6 linked regions of the Oryctolagus cuniculus genome follow. The protein of the gene in region 3 purifies or fractionates together with the protein of the main gene of each other region. This does not show direct contact. Links are inferred from orthologs where the notes say so. Each region holds a gene or a part of one and is shown on either strand. Other genes may lie near its edges. The genes, in order: RNPS1, SF3B1, PRPF40A, SNRNP70, RBM25 and NCBP3.

Evidence for each region.
Region 1: the proteins of PRPF40A (region 3) and RNPS1 purify together in Homo sapiens (affinity purification with mass spectrometry; 4 studies listed by BioGRID and IntAct, counting the BioPlex papers as one, with this or other methods). This does not show direct contact. The link is inferred for Oryctolagus cuniculus from reciprocal best matches to the Homo sapiens genes PRPF40A and RNPS1.
Region 2: the proteins of PRPF40A (region 3) and SF3B1 purify together in Homo sapiens (co-immunoprecipitation; 3 studies listed by BioGRID and IntAct, with this or other methods). This does not show direct contact. The link is inferred for Oryctolagus cuniculus from reciprocal best matches to the Homo sapiens genes PRPF40A and SF3B1.
Region 4: the proteins of PRPF40A (region 3) and SNRNP70 fractionate together in Homo sapiens (co-fractionation; 3 studies listed by BioGRID, with this or other methods). This does not show direct contact. The link is inferred for Oryctolagus cuniculus from reciprocal best matches to the Homo sapiens genes PRPF40A and SNRNP70.
Region 5: the proteins of PRPF40A (region 3) and RBM25 purify together in Homo sapiens (affinity purification with mass spectrometry; 5 studies listed by BioGRID and IntAct, with this or other methods). This does not show direct contact. The link is inferred for Oryctolagus cuniculus from reciprocal best matches to the Homo sapiens genes PRPF40A and RBM25.
Region 6: the proteins of PRPF40A (region 3) and NCBP3 purify together in Homo sapiens (affinity purification with mass spectrometry; 3 studies listed by BioGRID and IntAct, counting the BioPlex papers as one, with this or other methods). This does not show direct contact. The link is inferred for Oryctolagus cuniculus from reciprocal best matches to the Homo sapiens genes PRPF40A and NCBP3.

What each region holds. Positions count from the first base shown.
Region 1 is NC_091450.1:33,008,948-33,012,993, reverse strand, and holds the start of RNPS1 (RNA-binding protein with serine-rich domain 1), read right to left. Parts: upstream 2,801-4,046; 5' UTR 2,690-2,800; coding exon of another isoform or gene 2,688-2,689; intron 2,663-2,687; exon of another isoform or gene 2,225-2,662; intron 1,966-2,224; exon of another isoform or gene 514-1,965; intron 246-513; 5' UTR 130-245; coding exon 59-129; intron 1-58. UniProt on the Homo sapiens protein: Part of pre- and post-splicing multiprotein mRNP complexes. Auxiliary component of the splicing-dependent multiprotein exon junction complex (EJC) deposited at splice junction on mRNAs.
Region 2 is NC_091434.1:42,821,141-42,825,394, reverse strand, and holds the start of SF3B1 (splicing factor 3B subunit 1), read right to left. Parts: upstream 2,801-4,254; 5' UTR 2,786-2,800; coding exon 2,734-2,785; intron 2,533-2,733; coding exon 2,356-2,532; intron 1-2,355. UniProt on the Homo sapiens protein: Component of the 17S U2 SnRNP complex of the spliceosome, a large ribonucleoprotein complex that removes introns from transcribed pre-mRNAs.
Region 3 is NC_091434.1:89,171,337-89,175,593, reverse strand, and holds the start of PRPF40A (pre-mRNA-processing factor 40 homolog A), read right to left. Parts: upstream 2,801-4,257; 5' UTR 2,593-2,800; coding exon 2,383-2,592; intron 1,345-2,382; coding exon 1,213-1,344; intron 1-1,212. Other genes in the region: ARL6IP6 (ADP-ribosylation factor-like protein 6-interacting protein 6), read left to right, coding at 3,732-4,131.
Region 4 is NC_091449.1:8,216,266-8,219,765, forward strand, and holds part of SNRNP70 (U1 small nuclear ribonucleoprotein 70 kDa), read right to left. Parts: intron 707-3,500; coding exon 642-706; intron 498-641; coding exon 435-497; intron 1-434. UniProt on the Homo sapiens protein: Component of the spliceosomal U1 snRNP, which is essential for recognition of the pre-mRNA 5' splice-site and the subsequent assembly of the spliceosome. SNRNP70 binds to the loop I region of U1-snRNA.
Region 5 is NC_091451.1:19,255,732-19,259,231, forward strand, and holds part of RBM25 (RNA-binding protein 25), read left to right. Parts: intron 1-1,108; coding exon 1,109-1,331; intron 1,332-1,442; coding exon 1,443-1,532; intron 1,533-3,500. UniProt on the Homo sapiens protein: RNA-binding protein that acts as a regulator of alternative pre-mRNA splicing. Involved in apoptotic cell death through the regulation of the apoptotic factor BCL2L1 isoform expression.
Region 6 is NC_091448.1:49,093,509-49,097,008, forward strand, and holds part of NCBP3 (nuclear cap-binding protein subunit 3), read right to left. Parts: intron 2,235-3,500; coding exon 2,106-2,234; intron 1,885-2,105; coding exon 1,808-1,884; intron 1,170-1,807; coding exon 1,061-1,169; intron 1-1,060. UniProt on the Homo sapiens protein: Associates with NCBP1/CBP80 to form an alternative cap-binding complex (CBC) which plays a key role in mRNA export. NCBP3 serves as adapter protein linking the capped RNAs (m7GpppG-capped RNA) to NCBP1/CBP80.

The sequences.
Region 1 (4,046 bases), on a different chromosome or scaffold from region 3:
GGTCCCTAGCGGTGAGCACCCCCGATGTAGCACTAGAAAAATCTGGCAGGAGGATTACCTAGTGCTGGACTTTTTATTATTTTCTTTGACTCCTAGCAAGCTCTTCTTTTTCACTCCTGATAAATCCATCCTCCCTTCTGAGGTGTTCAAAGCGGCAATGGCGGCCTCACTTATCTGAGCTCTCACTTCTAACTCGACTCTGAGAAACGGTCCCTAATCGATTGCAATTTACGCCAAAGAGCAGCCTAATAACAAGATAAAAGGATGTAGAGAGTGAACGAATTGGCAAGGCAACAAATTAACTTTGCAGTACAAAGCTGAGCACACACGAAGGCAGTCAGGAACACAGCAAGCAGCAGGTACCCACAGGACCAGGGCATGCGGGGCAGCCACCACTTCCCCACGGGGCACAGGTCAAGCCGGCACCCAGCTCCTCCCTGAGGCGGCGGGTGGTCCCCGTCGCTTTATCCTAGAGTTTCGTTAAGGGTGACGGGCCCTCAGCAGCACACTCACGAGGAGGACAGGGAAGCCTAACGCGAGTGTGGCTGGCGGATCAGGCCTCGTCTCTGCTGTGGTTCCCCTCCAGGACACACTGGATTACGACTGGAGACAAACATCGTTTCAGAAGTGGTTGGTATCAGCACCAAAACATTTACTACCCAAGCACGAACACTTAGAGAGTAGTGAAAGCGATTCTCAAGTTGTCAATAGCAAACTGTAGTGCTAAGCACGACGTGTGCAGGGGGAAAGATTCGCACGAGGCTGTGATTTAAAGAAAAAACGAGATGGTGGCTCCACACGCGCCAAGAAACCCAACAGAGGGACCGCAGAGCCCCAGTGGTGGCTACTGAGCATTAAACATTACTTCAATTTTTCTGTATGGTTAGAACTTTTAAAAAGACGCAAGTGTGTGTGCGGGGGGAAGCTGACACTTGAAACTGGGCGAGATGCTCCACTTCATTTAAGGGCTGGCCAGGTGCCTGACGCCAGCACACGGTGAGCAGTCACGTTAACCAGTTACTCAAAACCGCTCATCTCTCACCCAGGCTTTCCACGAGGTTCTGCACAACCGCGTGACCTGTGAGCAGGCGCGGCTGCTCATCCCACCGCACACCGCGCGGCCGCAGCCCCGCAGCTGGGCAGGCGCTTCCACGTGATGCCGATCCACGTTCTGACCCAGGAAATACGAGGGCCGGCTGTGGACACTCCAACGAGCGGCAGAGGGCAGAGGATCCCCGGGCAGCTCCTTGCCAAGGCTGCCCTCTTCAGAATGGCTGCCTCCAAACCATAAGGGACCACGGACACCCGGTCAGGCTGGTGTCCTGGGACAACCCCTGGGTGTAACTCAGCCAAGAGCCCCGGCCTCGCTGTGGACCCTCAGCAGCCACTGTCCTCTCTAAGGCCTCTGGTCGCCAGTTTGTTACCAGCAATGCGGTGACAACAACCCCCCTTCCAGCATTTTCAAAGGCAGTAACCAATGAACTCACGAAACAGACCCCGCACCTGGTTGAGGCCCAACAGAAGTAACATGAAAAGGGCTGTTTCCAGAGGCTCTCCTCCCCGCACCGGGAGCCTCAGAAAGGTCATGGAAAATACCTATCTGCAAAGAACATGCGTAGGTTTCATTTTTTTGCACCAAAATCTATCTTTTAACTCCCCTTTCCATGAATTTTCCGAAGTTCCACACACTCCCAATTCCTGAATTCAACAGTGTCCGTGGGCCCCACCGTGGGATCACTCGGGGCAGCACGGCCACTACCGAGCGCGCCAGGAGTAACCTGGAACTGCCTTGTAGCGCCGTCACAAACCAGGTAAATCCACTTAGAAAACACTGGACACCCCACACCCAGCGGGAACTGCATTTCCCGTTTTCCCCTCCGAGTCGTCCTTTGAACCCCAGCCCGGGCTGGCTGCGCCGCGGGCCCCGTGAGCAGCGGCCACCTCGCTGGCCAGGGCGGCGACCCCCGCCCCGCCCCGCCCCGCCCGAGGACGAGCCCCGCCGGTGTCCTCGGGACGAACACCGAAGAGCCACGGGGGGCGCGCTCGCTCTGCCGGGCGCGGTCGGCAGCTAGAAAGCAAAGGTTGAGGTTCTCTGTCCACAAGTCCAGGGCCCGGCGCGGGACCTTGGTGACCGCCCCCGTCCTCCGGAAGGTGCGCGTCCAACAGCCAGAGAGAGGAGAGAACAGTTAGTCACGTCTCGAGCAGAAGGGGCCCCTCCCCGCACCGGAGCTGGGCCTCACGCACGGTCCACGCCAACAGCACGGCGGCAGGCGGCCCCGCGCCGCGCCGGCCCGACCTCGCCACGGCGCCGGGACCCGCCGGCAGCGCTGGAGCCGCCCCTCGGGCAGCGCGCGCCGCCTTCCCGGGCGTCCCACACAGCGGCCCCGCCGCCCCCCGCGCTCGCAGGGAGGGCCCGGCTCCCCAGCCCGCAGGAGCGCCGCCGCGGAGCGGACCCAGCCGGGCGGCTCTTCCGTCGGCGGCGGCCCCGACCACTTCCGGGCCGCGGCCTCGACGCCTCCCACTCCGCCGCCCCGGGCCACATTCTTTCTTTCCGAGTTCCGTGCCGCGCCGCCCGGCCGCCGCGCCATCGCGGGGCTGAGAAGCCGGCTGGCTGCACGATGCGACCCTCCCGGCCTGGCGGGCGGCCCCTGCAGCTCGGATGCGGTCGGATTCCGCCCCCAACTTACATCTTCCCGCCGCCGCCACCTCCTCCCGCTCTCCTCAGCCGCCGAGGCCGGCGCTTTTCTGTCGTCAGAGCGAAGGCGCGGGAACGTGCCGCCGTGCGGCGCACAGCGATGACGAAAACGCCTCAGCCAATGGGCGCGAGCTGCGGAGCGTTCGGGGCAGCGGACGAGGGTGGGGAGCGCCGTGAGGGTCGCTGGCTGTGTCTCCCCGGTCAAGAGGGCTCTCGGCCCTGGGCAGCCCCTTTCCGGAGCTCCCGGAGCGGGCATGGCGACTTGCCGGGGCCCCGGGGCCGGCACGGACGGGGCTGACGAGGCCGCGCCTCTGCGAGCGCGTGCGCACTGGGGGCGGCGGGTCTTCTCGCCCGGGGGTCTTCTGGGCGGTAGCCTCTCCAAGGCCGGCCTAGAGGGCTCGGAGGGATGGGCCGGCGCAGGACGTGGGTTAGTGCGGTCAAACCCCACTGCTGCAGAGGGAGCGGCGGGCGCGAAGGCCCGGGAGGCGCGGTCGGAGCCGCCTGGCAGGAGCGGCGAGTGGGGAGGGCTGGGGAGGGGGCTTCTGTGGGATTGCGGAAGGAAGGACGGCGCCCTCGCCCCAGCTGGCAGCCAGGAGGGCTGGGGGGAGCAGCGGGTGCAAGCCAGGGCCTTGCAGAAAGCAACCAGCGGGCAGTCGGAGAGGCAGCCCGGGTGCGGGAGGGTGGGGGGAGCGCTAGAGCGGTCGGGGTCTGCCGGCGCGTGAGACTCCTTCCCCATCCAGGAGGGTCACCCCGCCCTCACCCTTCACCTGCGGCCGAGGAGGGCAGCGGCCGGGGTCTGCGGGCGCGTGAGACTCCCCCATCCAGGAGGGTCCCCCTGCCCTCACCCTTCACCCGGGGCCGAGGGGGGCAGCGGTCGGGGTCTGCGGCACGTGAGACTCCCTTCCCCATCCAGGAGGGTCCCCCTGCCCTCACCCTTCACCCGGGGCCGAGGGGGGCAGCGGTCGGGGTCTGCGGCGCGTGAGACTCCCTTCCCCATCCAGGAGGGTCCCCCTGCCCTCACCCTTCACCCGGGGCCGAGGGGGGCAGCGGTCGGGGTCTGCCGGCGCGTGAGACTCCCTTCCCCATCCAGGAGGGTCACCCTGCCCTCACCCTTCACCCGGGGCCGAGGGGTGTCCAGGGAGTTGGGCACAGAAGCCTCCGGCGTGTGCTGCCCTGGGGCGGGGTTGGCAGCCCGTCCAGTCTGGACACATTCGAGGGACAGGCGGGAGGTTCAGTTCTCTGCACGCCTTCAGGGGCAGAGGAGGGCAGCCCCTGGCGGGGGTGGTGTTGGCCATGGGCCGTCTGGAGGAGGCCTTGGCCCCCAGGGCCCGGGCTCAGAACCTGTGCCTGT
Region 2 (4,254 bases), about 46 Mb from region 3:
TAAATATTGTATAATCTTTTTACTTGAAACAAAAATAAATATTACATATTTTTAAAGGCCACGCCAGTGGGATTCAATCTAAGTCATCCTCTCTATTTCAATAGCCTAAGAATGGTTGCTGACTCCAGGTCATCCTTCACACTACAACCTGTGACCTTCCCAAAACACAGAAATAATATGACCTGGAGGAAAGAGCCAGTATCTGTGGCCACTGGTGGGAAGCCTTCCACGATGACACTAACCTAATATTTCATCCTCTCAGTTGAGGAAGTTCCCAAAGTGTAAAGTCTTGCTTCCCCATCTATCTCACCCAAATACATATAGTCAAGCCAACACAAACTTTCAAAGATCAATTAAGTACCTTTTGTTTGTGAAACTCTTTTAATACTTCCAGTATGTATCTTTCAATGTTGATTAAATATTTAAGCATACATAATGCACCTACTGGGTATTCTAAGATAGAATTCCTGTAAACAACCTCAAAGTATGAGAAAACTTTAATAGAAAAACTATCCTAAGTGAAATAATACAAATATATTGAATACTACAATAGCACACCCCAACCCCAAAAGAAACTAATTTCCAGCTTATAAGAAATCGCTTGACAAGTGAAAATAGCTAAAGCACAAAGAACTAGAGTTCTGCAGAAAAATACCACAAGGAAGAGAGCGAGAAGCTATGCAAATACTGTATTTCTATTTAACAGTTATCACCCTGCAACTTATCACACACAGTGATAATTTTCACAGAAAGTACTCAGATGTTATACCAAATTTTCCACTATTTTCTTTAAGGCATTACTTAATTTACATTGATAGCATAATCTCAAATAAAACAACGATTTGCAATCAAAAGGCCTTTTAGCTGGGTTTCTAACATGCAGGAAAACCAACTGCAATTTTTGATTTTCCTGACCAAGGTTATGAGATATTGAAGATACCAATAAATAAGCAATCAACGCTGCTAAGTGACCCCCAAATGAGTAATCTACTCCTGAATGAACAAAACTTGCAACATCTTTATATTTTCTGGTTATTTTGCAAAAGGTATTTTGAGATAGTCTAAAAACAAAGGATTAAGGCCTAAGAACAGTTCTGGGCTTAGAAAGCATTGAGCCTCAGTTCCATCCACATTCTGGTCCTAACCAACCTTTCCAGATTCATCTTCTACTTCCCCTTTGCACCTCTTTTCCTGCCACTGCAGACTTCTCCAACATACTTTTCAGACGCACTGCCTTGTTAACAGTTCTCTCAGGTTCACACGTCCTCCTCTAATTTAAAACTGACTGATCCTTTCAAGACTGGGGACACGTCACCTCTTCTGTGAAAACAGCCCTAACCATAAATCCATCACTCCTACCCAAGTTCGCAGAACACACTGCTTACATTTCTATCTAAGCAGTCATCTGGCCTCTTAAGAAAATTCAGATAAATACGTGTCAGTGTACCCCATCACACTAGAATGTTTGATGGCCTCTGAGTCGCTTACCTCTCACAGACCAATACCAAACCACACACCAAGAAACGACATACATAAATAACGACATGAAATAAAAGTCATCTTGAAAGCCTTGTGTACAGTGTAAATTTTGGATCCAAAGCCAAATCAAGGAGTGCAGTTCTAAATTCCCAATCCCCACTTCCTATTCTCTGGACACTCCCTAATGGATTTCACTCTACTCCCAACATTCGCCTAATTTTGTATACCCTGTATACTAGAAAAGGATCAACTATCTTCAAAACTTCGGTCACCAGCCAATATAATATGACTTTCCTTTTGCACATGCTCCTCCAATAATCAGCCACCAAAGAAAAAGATAAATATACTATAAATTATTAAGGAAGGCAAAAAACACCGGATCATTTCTTCCAAGAAAAATAATCAAGTAACCCAGACACCTGAAGACACACATTTTACCCAGGGTTAGGAGTCTGCGGCCTCGGTTTAACATTCCCCGAAAAGCGGCTGCCTATTTCAGCGCTTTCCTGACTCCCTGCACAAACTATGCCGACCACAGTACCAAGAGGTGAGCGGGACTCTCCTCCCACGCTTCCCCTATCCGTCGGCCTGGAATCCTCCTTAGCCACCCGCTTAAACGAGGCTTCTGGTCAGGGAAGAGAAGAAACCCTCAAGCAGCTGCATTCAAACACGGAACAAAGCGCCTGTCGTGGGTGTACGAGTAGGACGCCATTACGCGGGGCAGTGGGCTGCGCCGCTAGCGCCGAGGAGACGCCTCAGACCCCCAAAGCGCGGACTCGGCCCCTACAAAAAAACTAAAGGAGCGTCAGAGGCTCGGAAAGGCAGTCTTAGCAGGATGGCGGCAGAGAGGGCACGTAAACGGGAGAGCCTGCTTACCTTCGTGAGTCTTGGCGATCTTCGCCATTTTGTCCACTCGAACACACAGACGGAACTGGCGCTCCCAAGCACTTCCGCTCGTCGCCGCCGCCACGGAGAAAAATAGCTGGGACTGCTCTCTGCGCGTGCGCCAAGCGGGAGCGCGCTCCGTCGAATGACACGTGACAGAGCAGCCACCTAGATGGAATCGCGAGGTGCATTGTGGGTGTGGGAGGAACCGGGATTAGTCCGGGGGCGGGTCTTAGTTTGTGACCCGGGAAAACTCTGCCTGGGGGTGAGGGAGGCAGTGAGTGGGTAGATTACTCGGTGGTGGATAAGAACAGACCCTGTGGGAAACTATGGGTTCGGAGCTGGAAGAGACCTCAGCCTTTCAATTACCTTTGTCCAAATTCAAAGGCGTCTCGGGGCTGGAGAAAAGCTTTCTTAGCATGTTTCAGCTGTTGCCGTGCTTAGCTAAGGAGACAGTCTTAACAGTCTCACACCTCACGCTAACTTTCAAGGTCATTTTTCCTGCTGCCCTTTTCTCAATAATTGCCTGCTGTCTCTATAGGAGTTTCGTTTCCAACTGACGTTGCCAAACTACTTCACAAATAGTCCAGTAAAATAGGCAAGCTATTGCTAATACCATTGAAGACAAAAAAAATTAGAATGGGGAGATATGTAAATTGTGCAAAGTCACACAGTTACCAAATTGCACAACTTGAATGCTGTCACCATTATAAAGCTTTTTCACTTTATAGGTTCTTAGAATACAATTGCCCTAAATGTTACTCCTAAATCAGGAACTTTAGTAAGTCAGAATACAGTGGTGTTCTTTATGCTTAGATATGAATTATGCTGTCATAACTTGACACTATTTTTGGACTTTGGGGTTGAAAAAAACAGAAGAACTAAGGAGGGAGGTTGGGTCTAGGAAGCAGCCTAGGTAAACAGGTAGGGATCAAGGTTAGAGCCAGCAGAAGGTTAGCTTGCTGTTTGATAGACACAGTCTGAATAAATACTTAGTGGAAACTTCAGTAACACATAGGATTTTTATCAGCATCTGTGAAATAATCGATTTAATAAGTTTAAAACTTCAGATGTTTAATTTCCATCTCTTTATTAGTTCAAACAGAAGTTAATCTAATAGGGGGGACTACACTGTGGCCCAGCAGGTTAACGCCCTAGCCTGAAGCACTGGCATCCCACTTGGGTGCTGGTTCCAGTCCCTGCTGCTCCTCTTCCTATCCAGCTCTCTGCTATGGCTTGGGAAAGCAGTAGAAGATGGCCCAAGTGCTGGGGCCCCTGCACCTGCATGGGAGACCTGGAAGAAGCTCCTGGCTCCTGGCTTTGCACAGCCATTGCAGCCATCTGGGGAGTGAACTATCAATGTAAGACCTCTCTGTCTCTGCCTTTCCTCTCTCTGTGTAACTGTGACTTTCAAATAAATAATAAAATTTTTAAAAAAGAAGTTAATCTAATAGGGAATGTGGGGTCAGGATAAGAAAGATTGTTATGCAAATTATTGAGGGGCCCTTGCTGTGGCTTATCAAAGCGTAAAGCTGCTGCCTGCAGTGCCGGCATCCCACTAGGGCACAAGTTCCAGTCCCAGCTGCTCCACTTCCAATCCAGCTCTCTGCTATGACCTGGGAAAGCAGTAGAAGATGGCCCAAGTGCTTGGGCTCCTACACCTGCGTGAGAGGATCTAGAGGAAGTTCCTGGCTCCTAGCTTCAGATCAGCACAACTCAGGCCATTTTTGCCAGTTGGAGAGTGAACCAGCAGATGGAAAACCTCTTTTTCTCTCTGCATCTCCTTCTCACTCTGTGTAACTCTGACTTTCAAATAAAATAAATAAATCTTAAAAAAAAAAACCTGCTAAACAAAAAAAAAATCAAAAGAACATCAAGCTTTTTGCCTCA
Region 3 (4,257 bases):
CCTAGGGAGTGTTAAAACCTGTGTTATTCTAGAGTAACAGAATAAAAGAGTCTTATTTAAAGAACTCCTGCTGGCAGAATCTTTTGGATCTGGTGCCTATGAATAAAGATTTTTACACAAAATTTAGGGCTATATTCCAAATAAAAAAGAAGAAAACCACTTGATATTGAGCCCTTCTCCTTGTAAGGTTAAGTAAAAAGAGAGAGACACATAACATGCTCCTTTTTTCACTGCAGTTTCACCAATAACTCTAACCATCAAGGCTTAAATACTTACATATCAAATAATACTAATCAACAAAAGATCATACCTACTGGCTTTCCAAAATACTCTTGTTAGCCTAAGCTGTTGCTGATTTACTGAGATACTCAAATAGAAATGACCCAACAACCTAAAGAGTGTGTATTAAAGAACCTAATAACATAAAGCACAAAATTATTCATGGTAACTAAACCTGTTACCTTTATTGGATGCTTCTCTAGAAACTTAGTTCTACTAAATCAAGCTAACTAACTTAGGTCTACGGATGCTGCTGAGTCAGCATAAACCTTTTGCTCTAAATCACTCCTACAAAACAATCCATTTACAATTTATGTTAGAGATGGAAGGGACAGCTCAAAAGTAGGAGTGCAGAAGCAAAAAGCATTTTTTTAAAAACCAAAAACAGTATAAGTTGAAAACGAACTACCTGACACTGCTCTATGAAGAATCAGAATTACAGAGCAAATTTCCCAACCCTCCCTCACCACCCCACAACAGACAAAGGAGAAGATATTAAGCAGTAAAATTCATTCCAAGTCAAAGGCCTAAACAATCGCTATTTTCAGAGTCTATACACTTACATAGTCCATTGAAATAAGTTATGTTGACATTTCATACAATATTTACTCTTAAAAAGTTAACTCCAATTGACATGCTCAAGAGAGAAAAGGACATTAAATAAAAAGCCTAGATACACAGTTACTTAGGAAAAAAAACTCTTAAATTTTGTTGAGGTAGTAATTTTTTGATACAGAATACTTTTTCATTACATTCAAAATTTGATTACAGTCTTGATGCAACATTTTTATCTGAAAACTTTATCTGGGCATAAATTAATCCTCAACCAGCTACAAGTACGGCACTGATTTAAAATTCTAAAATGTCGACACAATACCTGAGGCAAAAAAGCACCAACAAATAGGAAACAAAACAAAAACATAACGTTCTTACTTGTCCCATTGGTGGCCCTCCCATAGGGGGCATCATTTGTGGCATCATTCCATGAGGTACAGGAGGCATATTTGCTCTCTGACCCATAGGGTGCATTCCCATTGGGGCATAATGCATGCCAGGGTGCCCCATCTGAAAAATAATGAGCATTTGAAAATTACCAAGTTAATAAGCATCTCAGCAATCTCATTTCAAGAAATCTCTTACCTGTAGTGGCCTATATTAGGCTACTGTGGGATGCATGACTGTAGTATAATGAACTTGCACATTCCATAACAATGTGGAAAAGGTGAAAAATGATCCTGGAGGGTTGAATCAGCTTGGTCCCCCCACCCCCCTTCACTAAGCACTGATTCAATCATCTACCGAATTGCTTGCTGGTTTTGGAAAATACATATTCAATGCTTACTTAGAAAGTTATGGTCAAAAAAATCACATCTTTATCCTGTTTTACATAGATATAAAAAAAAAAAGCCAGCTGTCATTTTACAATGCCACTAATTTGACACTTCAAAGACTTTGAATTTGTCAAATTCACTTCGAGGCAAACCTGTCTTAACAGAATGCACAGGATGGGTTGTCAGAGCCACTTCATGCCTAACATACTATTTCCTAACCTAAGCTTCAGCACAGGTAAAAGTTCCTCTCCCGAAAACACATCTCCGAAAACTTAAGTTTCTGTCACTCACAGACACTAAATGCAAACAACCAAGTCAACTATTTCACTGCGCATTTAACGCACTACTTTCTTCCTATGTGTCCATTGTTCCTGGCTTTTAAACCAGGGAATTCTCCCCAGCCAATTATCCCAGAGACCCCCTCCTCCCGCCGCAGACCACCACCACTACGCGTGCAAACAAATCAGCTTCTTGCAGTCTTAGCGACATCAAGCCTCTGCTAAACCAGGCCTTCGGCTCCGAGACGCTCGCCCCGCCCAAGGCCTGCCAGCACCTTCACCGCGCATCTGTCTAGGCCAAGCCCACTGGGAACTTCAAAGGTCCCACATACTTCTCTTTGTGCAGCCCTGCCCTGCGTCTCTCTCCCTCGGGACATAGCCCACCATCTGGAGTTCTTCCTTCGTCCACTCCACTCTTCTCCTTTCGGAGTACGCTTCCTGTCTGCCTCCGTTTTTCATTGTGCCGCTTTCCCCCTACACCACCGATCCCTTACCGAGGGCCGTCTCCTCAGGAAGCCGTCAGCGGAAACCCAAGAGCTGGAGCAGAGGTTGGAGCCGGACAATCTCGGCTCCCCGTCCCCAGGACCCCGCGAGGGAGGTTGGTTCTCCATTTCACTCACCATGAGGCCTCCACGCTCGGCTCCCGTCCCCGGCCTCATCGTCGGGCTCAGACTGCTCGGCCGGCGGCCACTGCCGCTACACATACCAACAAGAAGCGATCTGAGTGGCTGGCGCCCGCTGGGGCCAAAGGTTAAAGGATGCCCTGAGCTATGGGGCGGGCTCAGCGGGGCCAATAAAATGACAGGCTTCTCCGCTGTCCAATCGCAGTGCGCCGCCGACTCGCACTTCTGCGGCGATTGGCTCTGAGCCTCAGCCTCACTCGGCGTCCCGTGCACGGGAAGGGGGGGAAGAGGAGGGACAAGAGGAAGTTTCCGCGTCGAGTCCTTTGACTGGAAAACTCTACCAACTTCCTTTCGGCGGAGGAAGACTACCGTGCCCTATCTTCCCTGAGCTCCAAAAGCCTCACTGCGTAGGGGTGGGGTATTGGGGCCCGCCGCCTTCACCATCTCCCCCGCCCGAGTTACGTACGCGCCACAAACCTGCGGCCGCCCCCAAGAGGGTAGGGTGGGGTGGGGTGGAGTGGGGTGGGGGCGGGGTAAGCAGCTTCCAGCGTTAGCGGTAGCTGGGGCAGGATGCGCGCCAGTGCGCGCGCTGTGTGGGAGGCGAAGGGGCGGGGAGGGACGGGCTAGCGAAGAGGCGTCCAGAGCAAGGGAGCTCTGCCTGCAGCGGCGCAGAGCGCGCCGAGTCGCTGGGAGGGAAGTTGTGGGTGGGGAGAAACACGCCGAGAGCGGGATGGACTCCCGAGGCAAAGCGACGGGTTAGGAGGAGCAGACTGGGGAGCAGTGTGAGCGTAGAGGGGGAAAAGCACGCAGGCTCTTGAATGTGTATCGGAAGGGCCTGGGCGAGCTTTAGGACCCGGTGTTGACTGTGGGGCTGCTGGGGCACGCGCTTGCCTGGGTGGCGACGCGCCGGTGGCCGGGACTAAGCACGCTGGGGAGAGGCAACTCGGCTATTTGGGGCCTCGGCTTGCCTGTCCCTGCACGCTTCCCTGCGCCCGCTCTCGCCTGCTGTCCCGGAATCGGCCCGCGGCCGCGAGGCGCCCAGCCTCTCCGGCGAGCCCTCTGCTCCCTCTCGGCGCCGCCGCCCACCCTCTCGCACCCCTGCGCGCCTGGCCGGGTGGTGGAGGCCGCAGCGGGGCCCTGCCGCTGATTGGCTGTTGCGGTCGCGGGGCGGGGCCAGTGAGAGACGTTGGACCTCGGCGGTTCTCGCCGTCTTTCCCGCCATGTCTTTTGTGGAGAGCGGGAGGCGTTCTGCGCCGCGCCGCCGCCGCCTCGGCACGCCGGTGCCCTTCGCGGCGCCGCAGTACTCCGCCTTCTCTCAGGGGGACAGCTGGGGTGTGGGCGAAGTCGACGACGAGGAGGGATGCACCCAAGTGGCCCGCGACTTGCGGGCAGAGTTCTCGGCTGGGCCGTCGTCGGAGTCCAGGAGAGGTTCTCTGTTCCCGCCAGATGGAGATGGGTCGCCGGTGCTGCCGGAGAAGCGCAACGGCATCTTCCCGGCTGCTGCGGGAAGCCGAACCTCGGCTCGGCAGTGGCCGGTTCAGGTCCTTTCTATTCTGTGTGCGCTGCTGTTCGCCATCCTCCTCGCCTTTCTGCTCGCCATCGTCTACCTGGTCGTAAAAGGTATCGCAGCCCGGGCCGAAGAGTCTGCCCAGAGTTCAGATGGGCCCGGGTGTGGCTCTCGCTTCCGTCCAGCCCTCAGCCCCCGCCGTCCCCAGAGCAGGCAGGCAGGCAGGCAGGCAGCCGCGT
Region 4 (3,500 bases), on a different chromosome or scaffold from region 3:
GTCCCCCCCTCTGTTAAGTGTCAGGTACTTCATCATGGCAACAAAGAGCACTCAAGTGGTTTTTAAATTAAATGAAGAAATGCAACTAAGTCTGAAGCCTTGCTCTACAGCAGGAGCTGCGCGCATTTCCTGTAATGACCCAGGAAGTACAGCTCCGGTTGAGGTCACACAACTTGGTCTTCCGCAATAGCAGCCAGACAACGTGTGGACGCACGGGCCTGCCTGTGCACCGACGGCCTCACTGACAGATGTCGGTGTGCTCTGCTGCCTCCGCTCAGCGAGCAGGCCTGACTTTTACTCCTGCTCCCCAATTCCATGGCCCCCGGAAGCGCAGTCAGGTGCCAGGACGATCTGAGGCACTTTCAGGACTGGAACCCAGCCTGCTCCCTCCCAGGCCACTGTCCCCTCCTGTAGGCACCCCGGCCGGCACTTACTCTCTTGATGGGCCCATACACCTCAAACTCTCTCCGGAGCTTGGATTCTGTCGTGTCGTAGTTCTACAAGGAGACAAACAGGAAGGTGAGTGGGCGGAGGGAGCTGTCCAGAGCCCGGGAGCACCCCCAGCACTACCCTGCCGTCCTTTTCCCCAGACCCAGCCTGTCAGCAGCCTGGGGTTCCCGGGCCAGGAGCTGGGGACTCACCACTCTCGCCACAAAGAGGGTCTTGAAGGCGTCCCCCTGAGCGTTGGGATCATTGTGAGGGTCCCCTGTGCAGGAAGAACACTCTGTAAGCAGGACACCGGCAGCGACCTGGCACCAGCGAGGGGCGCTGCTGCGCTGCGTCTCTGCAGCACAGCACTCGTAGACGGAGATAGCCACACCACAGGTCCGGCTTCCTTCACACTAGGTCTAACAGCCGCTGCAGACCAGCAAGCCCTAAGGGACCAGGGGATCCCAGGGGGCTTCTCGGCAGAGGCAGCCATAACCCAGCTGAGCTGTCACGTGGGCCTGCACTGCCCACTGGACACACTACAGCTGCAGCCCCAGGGAGCCCCAGGAGGGCAGTCCAAGCCCTGCTTCCCTCAATGCGCTGTGGCCACTAGGAGGAGCCAGTGAGAAGAGCTGTCACCACACCCGACACCGACCCTAGCCCTGACACTGTCCCACCTGGCCACCGGGGAGCCACCCTTAAAGGAGCAGCCAGAGGGGCCGGCATCCCACATGGGCGCCAGTTTGCGTCCCAGCTGCTCCACTTCTATCCAGCTGTTATGGCCTGGGAAAGCAGAAGAAGATGGCCCAAATCCTTGGGCCCCTGCACCCGTGTGGGAGACCTGGAAGAAGCGCCTGGCTTCGGATAGGCGCAGCTCCAGCTGTTGCAGCCATCTGGGGAGTGAACCAGCAGATGGAAGATCCCTCTCTCTCTGCCTCTCTGGAACTCTTTCATATAAATAAATGTAAAAAAAAAAAAAGAAGAAAGAAAGAAAAAGAAAAAAGAGAAAGCAAGCAGCCAGGCACGTACTGAACCTCAGTTCGGAGGTGAATGGGTGTTACACAGTGACTGCGTTGCCACTGGGAAACCTGCATCCCTTATCAAGAGTGCCTGGCTCCACTCCTGGCTACTCCGTTTCTGACCCAGCTTCCTGCTAACACACACCCTGAGAGGCAGCAGTGACAGCTCAAGTGGCTGAACCCGGTGCTACCCACACAGTTTCCAGACTGAGTTCTGGGCTCCCAGCTTTGGCCTGGCTTAGCCCCAGATATTACAGGCATTTGGGGCAAGAACCAGCAAACAAAAGATCTCTTTGCCTTTAAAACATAGTGAAAATGGGGTCGGTGTTGTTTCCTAGCAGCACAGTGGACAAGGCCACCGCCTACAACACCGGCATTCCATGTGGGCGCCAGTTCGAGTCCTGGCTGCTCCATTTCCCAACCAGCTCCTTGCTAACACACCTGGAAAAGCAGTGGAAAATGGCCCAAGTGCTTAGGTCCCTGCACCCACGTGAAATACCTAGAAGCTCCTGGTTTTGGACCAGCCCAGCTCTGGCCACTTAGGGAGTAAACCAGCAGATTAAAGATCTCACTATATAACTGTCTTTCTTACCTTTTTTTTTTTTTTTTTTTATTTTTTTTGACAGGCAGAGTAGATAGAGAGAGAGACACAGAGAAAGGTCTTCCTTTGCCGTTGGTTCACCCTCCAATGGCCACCGCGGCTGGCGCACCATGCTGATGCGAAGCCAGGAGCCAGGTGTTTCTCCTGGTCTCCCATGGGGTGCAGGGCCCAAGCACTTGGGCCATCCTCCACTGCACTCCCTGGCCACAGCAGAGAGCTGGCCTGGAAGAGGGGCAACCGGGACAGAATCCGGCGCCCCGACCGGGACTAGAACTCGGTGTGCCAGCGCCGCTAGGCGGAGGATTAGCCTGTTGAGCTGTGGCGCCGGCCTATAACTGTCTTTCAAATAAATAAAATAAATCTTTAAAAATAAAATAAAATAAAAAGGAGTGAAAATAATTACAAGGAAAAAAAACTCTGCAGGAGATTTGATGCCCAAAGTCGGTGACGTCAACACAATGGCTCCTGCCTCCCACGGGAGCCTCAGACTGCACAGTGGGGGCAACGCGCCAGGGCAGAGCTCCCTGCAGGAGGCCCAGCGCAGACTGAAGTCATAGACTGAAGTCATGAAGGAAATCCTCCAAGAACGTAAACCGGGCCAAGTGTCAAGGACGACCTGCAGGACTTACGGAAACTCCAAGATAATCCTTTGTGTCCCTGCAACACTTGTGATTCTCCATGCTCAAATCCCTCCATCTCTACCAGCTCACTCATCATCCACTTAAAAAGTGATTACTAATTTTTAAAAGATTTGTTTAAAATATTACAAAGAGAGACAGAGTACTCAAGCTCCTGCCACCCATGTGGGAACCTGGGTGGGGCTCCAGGCTCCTGCCTTTGGCCTGGTCTAGCCCTAGAAGCTGCGAACGAAACAGAAGACCCCCGTCACTGTGCTTTTCACATAGCAAACAGACACACAGGCCTGCGTAACGGCACAGCAGGAGAGCCAGGCCTGGGACGCCTGCACCCCCTGTACGTGCTAGTTGGAGTTCCAGCTGCCCCACTTCCATGCAGCTCAAGACTGATCAAACACCTGCCATCCACATGGGAGACCCAGATGCAGCTCCTAACTCCTGGCTTCGGCCTGGCCCAGCCCTGGCCACTGTAGCCAACTGAGCAATGATCCACTGAATGGAAGACCTTGCTCTCTCTCTCCCTCCCTCCCTCTGTAATAAATAATTAAAAATGCAAAAAAAAATCATAACTGAGAAGGTAGCAGAGAGGTTGGCCAGAAGCCCAGCCTGTGTGTGCACACAGGCGCACTCTGCTCCCCCTCTGCTTCTCACCCTACCATTAGCAATCCTTGGCTAAAGGGCTTATCTGGGCACTGGCCCAAGGCAGGGGCCACAGGAGTGGACTGGGGAGTTGGGAAAGCTCTGTGGCTTTCAGACGGCTGAGGCAGCATCACAGAACGCTTGCTCTCTGAGCAGACTCTGACAAGCCTCCAGAAA
Region 5 (3,500 bases), on a different chromosome or scaffold from region 3:
ACGAAGCACAGGAGAGCAGGAGGAAAGAGAAGAAGACTCATCCTTTTTATAGACTAATTTTAAAATACACATACTGTTTTGCAGTTTCTTAGAAACTTGGATTTCTACTTTTGCTCCATCTACTGTGTTGCTGGAACTGGAAGTCCAGTGCTCAGTCTTCAGTGGGCGTTAAAATTCCTTTCTTTCTTCCTGTCCTGATAAAGCTGTTACTGAGAATTTAACCAGGGTGTAATTTTTTTGTTTCAATGAACTGTATTATTTCATATGTATACTTATGTTTAATTAAGTATACTTTTTAGTATTAATATATATTCTGCAATTTTTTTTTTGACAGGCAGAGTGGACAGTGAGAGAGAGAGACAGAGAGAAAGGTCTTTCTTTGCCTTTGGTTCATCCTCTAATGGCTGCTGCGGCCGGCTCGCTGCGGCCGGCACACCGTGCTGATCAAAGGCAGGAGCCAGGTGCTTCTCCTGTCTCCCATGGGTGCAGGGCCCAAGCACTGGGGCCAGCCTCCACTGTACTCCTGGGCCACAGCAGGGAGCTGGCCTGGAAGAGGGGCAACCGGGGCAGAATCCGGCACCCCGACTGGGACTAGAACCCAGTGTGCCAGCGCCGCAAGGCAGAGGATTAGCCTATTGAGCCGCGGCGCCGGCCTGCAATTTTGTTTTATTACTCTGAATTAAATATTTGAGAACTTTCCTAGCAAGCCAAAATTCTATTTCTTGATTTCTATATTACTTGATCACTAATGAGGTTGATTTTTGTTTTGAGGTTGATTATTTTCAACATGCTTATTAGTCTTGTAGTTTTGAGGAGAATTAGCAATTTGTTTTTTCCTGTTGTACACTGTTATGTAATTAGTTGGGATTTCAATTTACTGTAGGGCATTCTTTAATCCTTTAAATATATTTAGGTTTGTTTTCTGATACACAATTAACTGTAACATTGACTTCAGAGCATAGTTCAGGATTTGAGGCTGGGCCCACAGTCTCTCTCTGATGAGTATAGAAGTGCTTCCAGTAGTGCTTTGTGGTGTGTGTATCCCCTCTTTCCTGTGTGTCTAGAGGAGCACAAAGACTGACTGAGTTAAAATCTTCTGTTTACATAGAGAAAAGAGCAGAGATCGTGAAAGGGAACGAGAGCGGGAACGGGAGAGAGAACGGGAACGAGAGCGGGAGCGAGAACGAGAGCGAGAGAGAGAGCGAGAGCGGGAACGGGAGCGTGAGAGAGAGAAAGACAAGAAACGGGACCGAGAAGAAGACGAGGAAGATGCATATGAACGAAGAAAACTTGAAAGAAAACTCCGAGAGAAAGAAGCCGCTTATCAAGAGGTAAATTGAGGAAGTGATTTTAGTTTTAAATCCTGGTGCACTTAGGTAAGTTAAAATTTGTAGAACTATAGAATCATTGTATGAAGTGCTAAAGCATGGGATCTTTTTTAGCGCCTTAAGAATTGGGAAATCAGAGAACGGAAGAAAACTCGAGAATATGAAAAGGAGGCTGAAAGAGAAGAAGAAAGGAGAAGAGAAATGGTAAGTTCTAGATTAAAAATAAATTTAAAAATCTGATCACCTTGTTACTCTGAACTACAGATAACTTTATAATTGATAGAGGCTTCTCAGTTGTTAGGTAATTTAATTCTATTCAATTTCAAGCAATATTGAGACAATTTAAGTACACAAAAATATTTCTTACAAATGTTTGCTTTTAAATTTTTTATATATTTTGATAGGAAATGTGTCATAAATGAATATAATTCATAAATTTATACAGTATTCTTCTATTAAGAAATCTACAAGGAACTGGCATTGTGATGATGCAGCAGATTAAGCTGCTACTTGGGTTTCCTACCTCCCACCTCCCGTATTGTTGCAGGTTTGAGTCCTGGCTACTTTTCCAATGCACTATCAAGCTAAAGCAAGCTCTTTTTTTAAGATTTATTTTATTTATTTGGCAGAATTAGAGAGAGAGAGATCTTCCATCCGCTGGCTCACTCCCCAAATGGCCTCAGCGGCCAGAGCCTAGCAGATCTGGAGCCAGGAGCTTCCCCTGGGGTCTCTCAATTGGATGCAGGGGCCCAAGGACTTGGACCATCTTGTACTGTTTACCCAGGCCATAGCTGAGAGCTGGATCAAAAATGGAGAGCCGGAACTCAAACCAGTGTCCATATAGCTCTGGCCCTGACTCAGGCTCTTTTATAAGGTTGCAGATAAAATCCATCAGAGTTCTCATGTATTACAGTGCCAGTGTGAGTCTTGGCTGTTCTGCTTCTGATTCAGTTTCCTGCTATTGTCCCTGGGAAAGCCAGGATTGATGGTTCAAGTACTTTGACTGTTGTCACTCTCATAGGCGACCAGGATGGAATTCCATGCTTCTGCCTTTGGCCTCTCTCAACCCCAGATGTAGGCATTTGGGGAGTGAACCAATGGATGGAAGATCTCTGTCTGTCTGTCTCCCATTTCTCTATTGTGGGGAGCAACTCGGACTAGACTAAGTTACTGGAATTAAGACTTATTCTATGCATCTGCTCTCCCACAATATGGCGCTGAGAAGGGAGTAACAGCTTCTACACAGCTGCCTCCAGTTCAACCAATAAACTGTAGGACTTGCTCCTGATTGGAGAGCAGCGTACTCGGCGTGTGGGTAGCAGAGTTGGGATTGGTGGAAGAGGACTATAAAGGAGGAGAGAGACAACATGCACCAGGAACATCTATCTGAAGGAACACCTGTGCAGCCCCCGAGAGAGCCGGCCGGCGGTGTGCCGCTCCCCTGCGGAAGTGGGGAAAGTGGCAGGGGGAACCGCCCTTCCACGGAGGTGGAAGGGTCAGTAGCCAACCCGGGAAGAACCAGCAGCAATCCCGGGGAGGGCCGAGCAGACAAAAGAACAGCACAGGGTCCTGTGTCGTTCCTCCACGAAGAGGGGGAGCGACATAATGGTGCCGTGACTCAGATGTGAAGCCTAGGCAGGGTTTAGTGTCGTTCCTCCGCGAAGACGGGGAGCGACATAATGGTGCCGTGACTCGGATATGAAGCCTAGGCAGGGTTTAGTGTCGTTCCTCCACGAAGAGGGGGAGCGACATCTATCCCTCCCTCGCTCTCTCCATCCATCTCTTTATCTCTGCTTTTCCAGCAAATAAAATCAATAACAGTTAAGAGAATTTGGGGCCGGCACTGTTGCTCCCTTGGTTAATCCTCCGTCTGCGGCTCTGGCATCCCATATGGGGACCAGGTTCTAGTCCCAGTTGCTCCTCTTCCAGTCCAACTCTCTGCTGTGGCCTGGGAAGGCAGTGGAGGATGGCCCAAGTGCTTGGGCCCTGCAGCTGCGTGGGAGATCAGGAAGAAGTACCTGGCTCCTGGCTTTGCATCGATGTAGCTTTGGCTGTAGCGGCCATTTTGGGGGTGAACCAACGGAAGGAAGACCGTTCTCTCCGTCTCTCACTGTCTAACTCTATCAAGTAAATTAAAAAAAAAAAAAAAATCTGCAAAGTTAGTTTTTTTAA
Region 6 (3,500 bases), on a different chromosome or scaffold from region 3:
GTTTCTCTTCAGATCGAATAAATCTTTTGCCTTTTACTAAAAAAAAAAAAAAAAAAAAAAAAAAAAAAATTTACAGTCTGGGCTGGCGCTGTGGCACAGCAGGTTAACGCCCCAGCCTGAAGCACCAGCATCCCATATGTGTGCCGGTTCTAGTTCCGGCTGCTCCACTTCCAATCCAGCTCTCTGCTGTGGTCTGGGAAAGCAATGGAAGATAGCCCAAGTCCTTGGGCCCCTGCACCCATGTGGGAGACCCAAAAGAAGCTCCTGGCTCCTGGCTTCAGATCAGCACAGCTCTGTCCATTGCGGCCATCTGGGGAGTGAACCAGCAGATGGAAGACCTCTCTCTCTCTCTGCCTCTCCTCTCTCTGTGTAATTCTGACGTTCAAATAAATAAATCAATCTTTTTTTTTTTTTTTTTTTTTTGACAGGTAGAGTTAAAGACAGTGAGAGAGAGAGACAGAGACAAAGGTCTTCCCTCTGTTGGTTCACCCCCTAGATGGCCGCTATGGCTGGAGCTATGCCGATCCGAAGCCAAGAGCCAGGTGCTTCCTCCTGGTCTCCCATGCAGGTTCAGGGGCCCAAGCACTTGGGCCATCCTCCCCTGCCCTCCCGGGCCACAGCAGAGAGCTGGACTGGAAGAGGAGGAACTGGGACTAGAACCCAGTGCCCATATGGGATGCCGGTGCCACAGGCAGAGGATTAGCCAAGGGAGCCATGGCACCAGCCCCCCAATAAATAAATAAATCTTTCAAAAAAAATTTACAAAGTCTAATTTTAAAGTTTTCAAAGTTCAGATGGTAACTGGCTAAGAAGCATTTAGAGTAAACCAGCTTTAACAGAAATAATCTACTTCAGCCAGAAGTCACGAAAATACACAATTAACTTTCACTTTCAAAGGCACAAATTCCTACTCAGGCAGCAAGCTGTTATTTCATCAGCACAGAATATCACACTTTTAAGGGAATTTTGAGATGACCTGACCTAACGTCTAATCAGAAGAGAAAGACGCCATTCAATCATTAATCATTTGATTAAAAGTAAAAATCAGTATCAAATTTACCTTTTGTAGCAAATCTCATGAACAATCTATTTCCTTTAGCTAGTTTGTTAGCTGGACGAAGATCGTTTCTTAACAGAGACTCTTCTTCTACCTGAGACAATGTGTCCAACTTAACAAAAGAGAAACACATTTTCAACATAAAAATTAGTCACTAGTATTTCCTTAGTAGCTAAATTACCATCAAGACAGCACTGAATCCATCAGCGTTGCAGCACCAGTTCCTCTGCAGAATTTCCAGGTCAGAGGCTTCCCACACCACCTTGTCTAAAGCAACAGTCCCATCATCCTCTGCCCCCACCCTCCCTTTTCTGCACTGCACTCACTCCCTCCTGACGGTCCATCATCTAAGGACCTGTGCACTGTCCAACTTCCCACCAGAAAGTAGGTTCTGAGAGGGTAATGAGCTTTGTTTTGCTTCATTCCATATCTTTAGCACCTAGAACTTGGTATACAGTAGGAACTTGGCAAATACTTTAGAAATGAATATTCAAATATTTCCAACAATAGTATACAAATCATTAGTAAATATACCATCACTTAATGATGAAATACTTTAAAGTACTTCTCAATAAAGCCATTTTCTTTGACACAGAAGTGTGAGCACTACTCTAGATCTCAAGATGAACTGTTACAGTTATTTTAAAGGCCAAGAGCCTGATGCACCCCCAAAAGGTTTTATGGTAAAAGCTAGCACAGTAAGAAACTTTCACAATAAAACCTTACACATTATTTCGCCCTATTACTAACCTCTGCGTCACTTGGGTTTTCATCTTCAACTTCTCCTTCTTCAGCCTCATCATCATCTGAGCTGTCCTCCTGCTTATCTAAAATGGAATGTGAGGAAGACGATGAACCTTAGTGTCAGTCCATCTTATATCATGGTAAAGGAACATCCTTTCTACTGAGGGTCCAAAGCATTCAAGCTAACATCAGACACACTCATTGACGGGATGTTTCAATGCTCTGCTCTGTAACCCAAAGCCCAAAACAAGACTGTGCAAAACAGGACTTTTAGGCCACAGGTCCCACCTTTGTGCTCAGTTACCTTTCTTACTTTTCTCAGATGACTTGTCTTCACTGGCGTCCCTGCTTCTTATCTTATCCTGGGCTGGCAGAGAACTCATATTAATAAGGGCTCGTGTGGCTGTCATTTCATCTAGCCAAACCACATTACCTAAAATAAAATGTAAAATAAAATATCACATTGTGCCCAAATGGTTATTTTCCTTTTTAAAAGATTTATCTGTTCATTTGAAAGGCAGAGCTACAGAGAGAGGGAGAGACAGTGAGATCTTTCACCCCCTGGTTCACTCCCCAAATGGCCATAGCTGGGGTGACCAGGAGCCAGGAGCCCCAACACTTGGGCCACCTTCCACTGCTCTCCCAGGAGCATTAACAGGGAGTTGGATCAGAAGCGGAACAGCCAGGACTCAAACCAACACCCATGTGGGTTCCCAACACTGCAGGCAGTGGTTTTACCTGCTATGCCACAGTGTCAGCCCTGGTTTTATTTCTGGAAAGCAGATCAAATTCACTGTTGCGGTCTCATCCAGCTACAGACTGCCATCAGTCAACATACACACCAAAAAATGAACACAAGTGTAGACGCTGGCGCCGCGGCTCACTAGGCTAATCCTCCGCCTGTGGTGCCGGCACACCGGGTTCTAGTCCCGGTTGGGGTGCCGGATTCTGACCCGGTTGCCCCTCTTCCAGGCCAGCTCTCTGCTGTGGCCCGGGAAGGCAGTGGAGGATGGCCCAAGTGCTTGGGCCCTGCACCCCATGGGAGACCAGGAGAAGCACCTGGCTCCTGGCTGTGCCGGCCGTGGCAGCCATTTGGGAAGACCTTTCTCTCTGTCTCTCTCTCTCACTGTCTAACTCTATCTGGAAAAAAAAAAAAAAAAAAAGGAAGGAAGGAAGGAAACAAGTGTAGAGAGTAGACAGTAGTAGCACAGTCTGTTTTTTAAAAATAATCTATTGGGGCCAGCACTGTGCATAGTAGGTAAAGCTGCTGCCTGCAGTGCTGGCATCCCATATGGGTGCAGGTTCGAGTCCCTGCAGCTCCATTTCCGATCCAGCTCTCTGCTATGGCCTGAGAAAGCAGTGGAAGATGGCCAAGTCCTTGGGCACCTGCACCCGTGTGGGAGACCTGGAAGAAGCTCCTGGCTCTAGACAGGCACAGCTCCAGCCACTGTGGCCATCTGGGGAGTGAACCAACAGATGAAAGATCTCTCTCTCTCTCTCTCTACCTCTCTGCAACTCTGTCTTTCAAATAAATAAATAAATCTTAAAAAAAAATAATCTATTTTTAAATGTCTTTTTAAAAAATTTATTTATTTGAAAGACAGAGTTACAGAGAAAGAGAAGAGACAAGAGAGAGATCTTCCACCTGCTGGCTTACTCCCCATATGGCCTCAACAGTCAGGGCTAGGCCAGGTTGAAG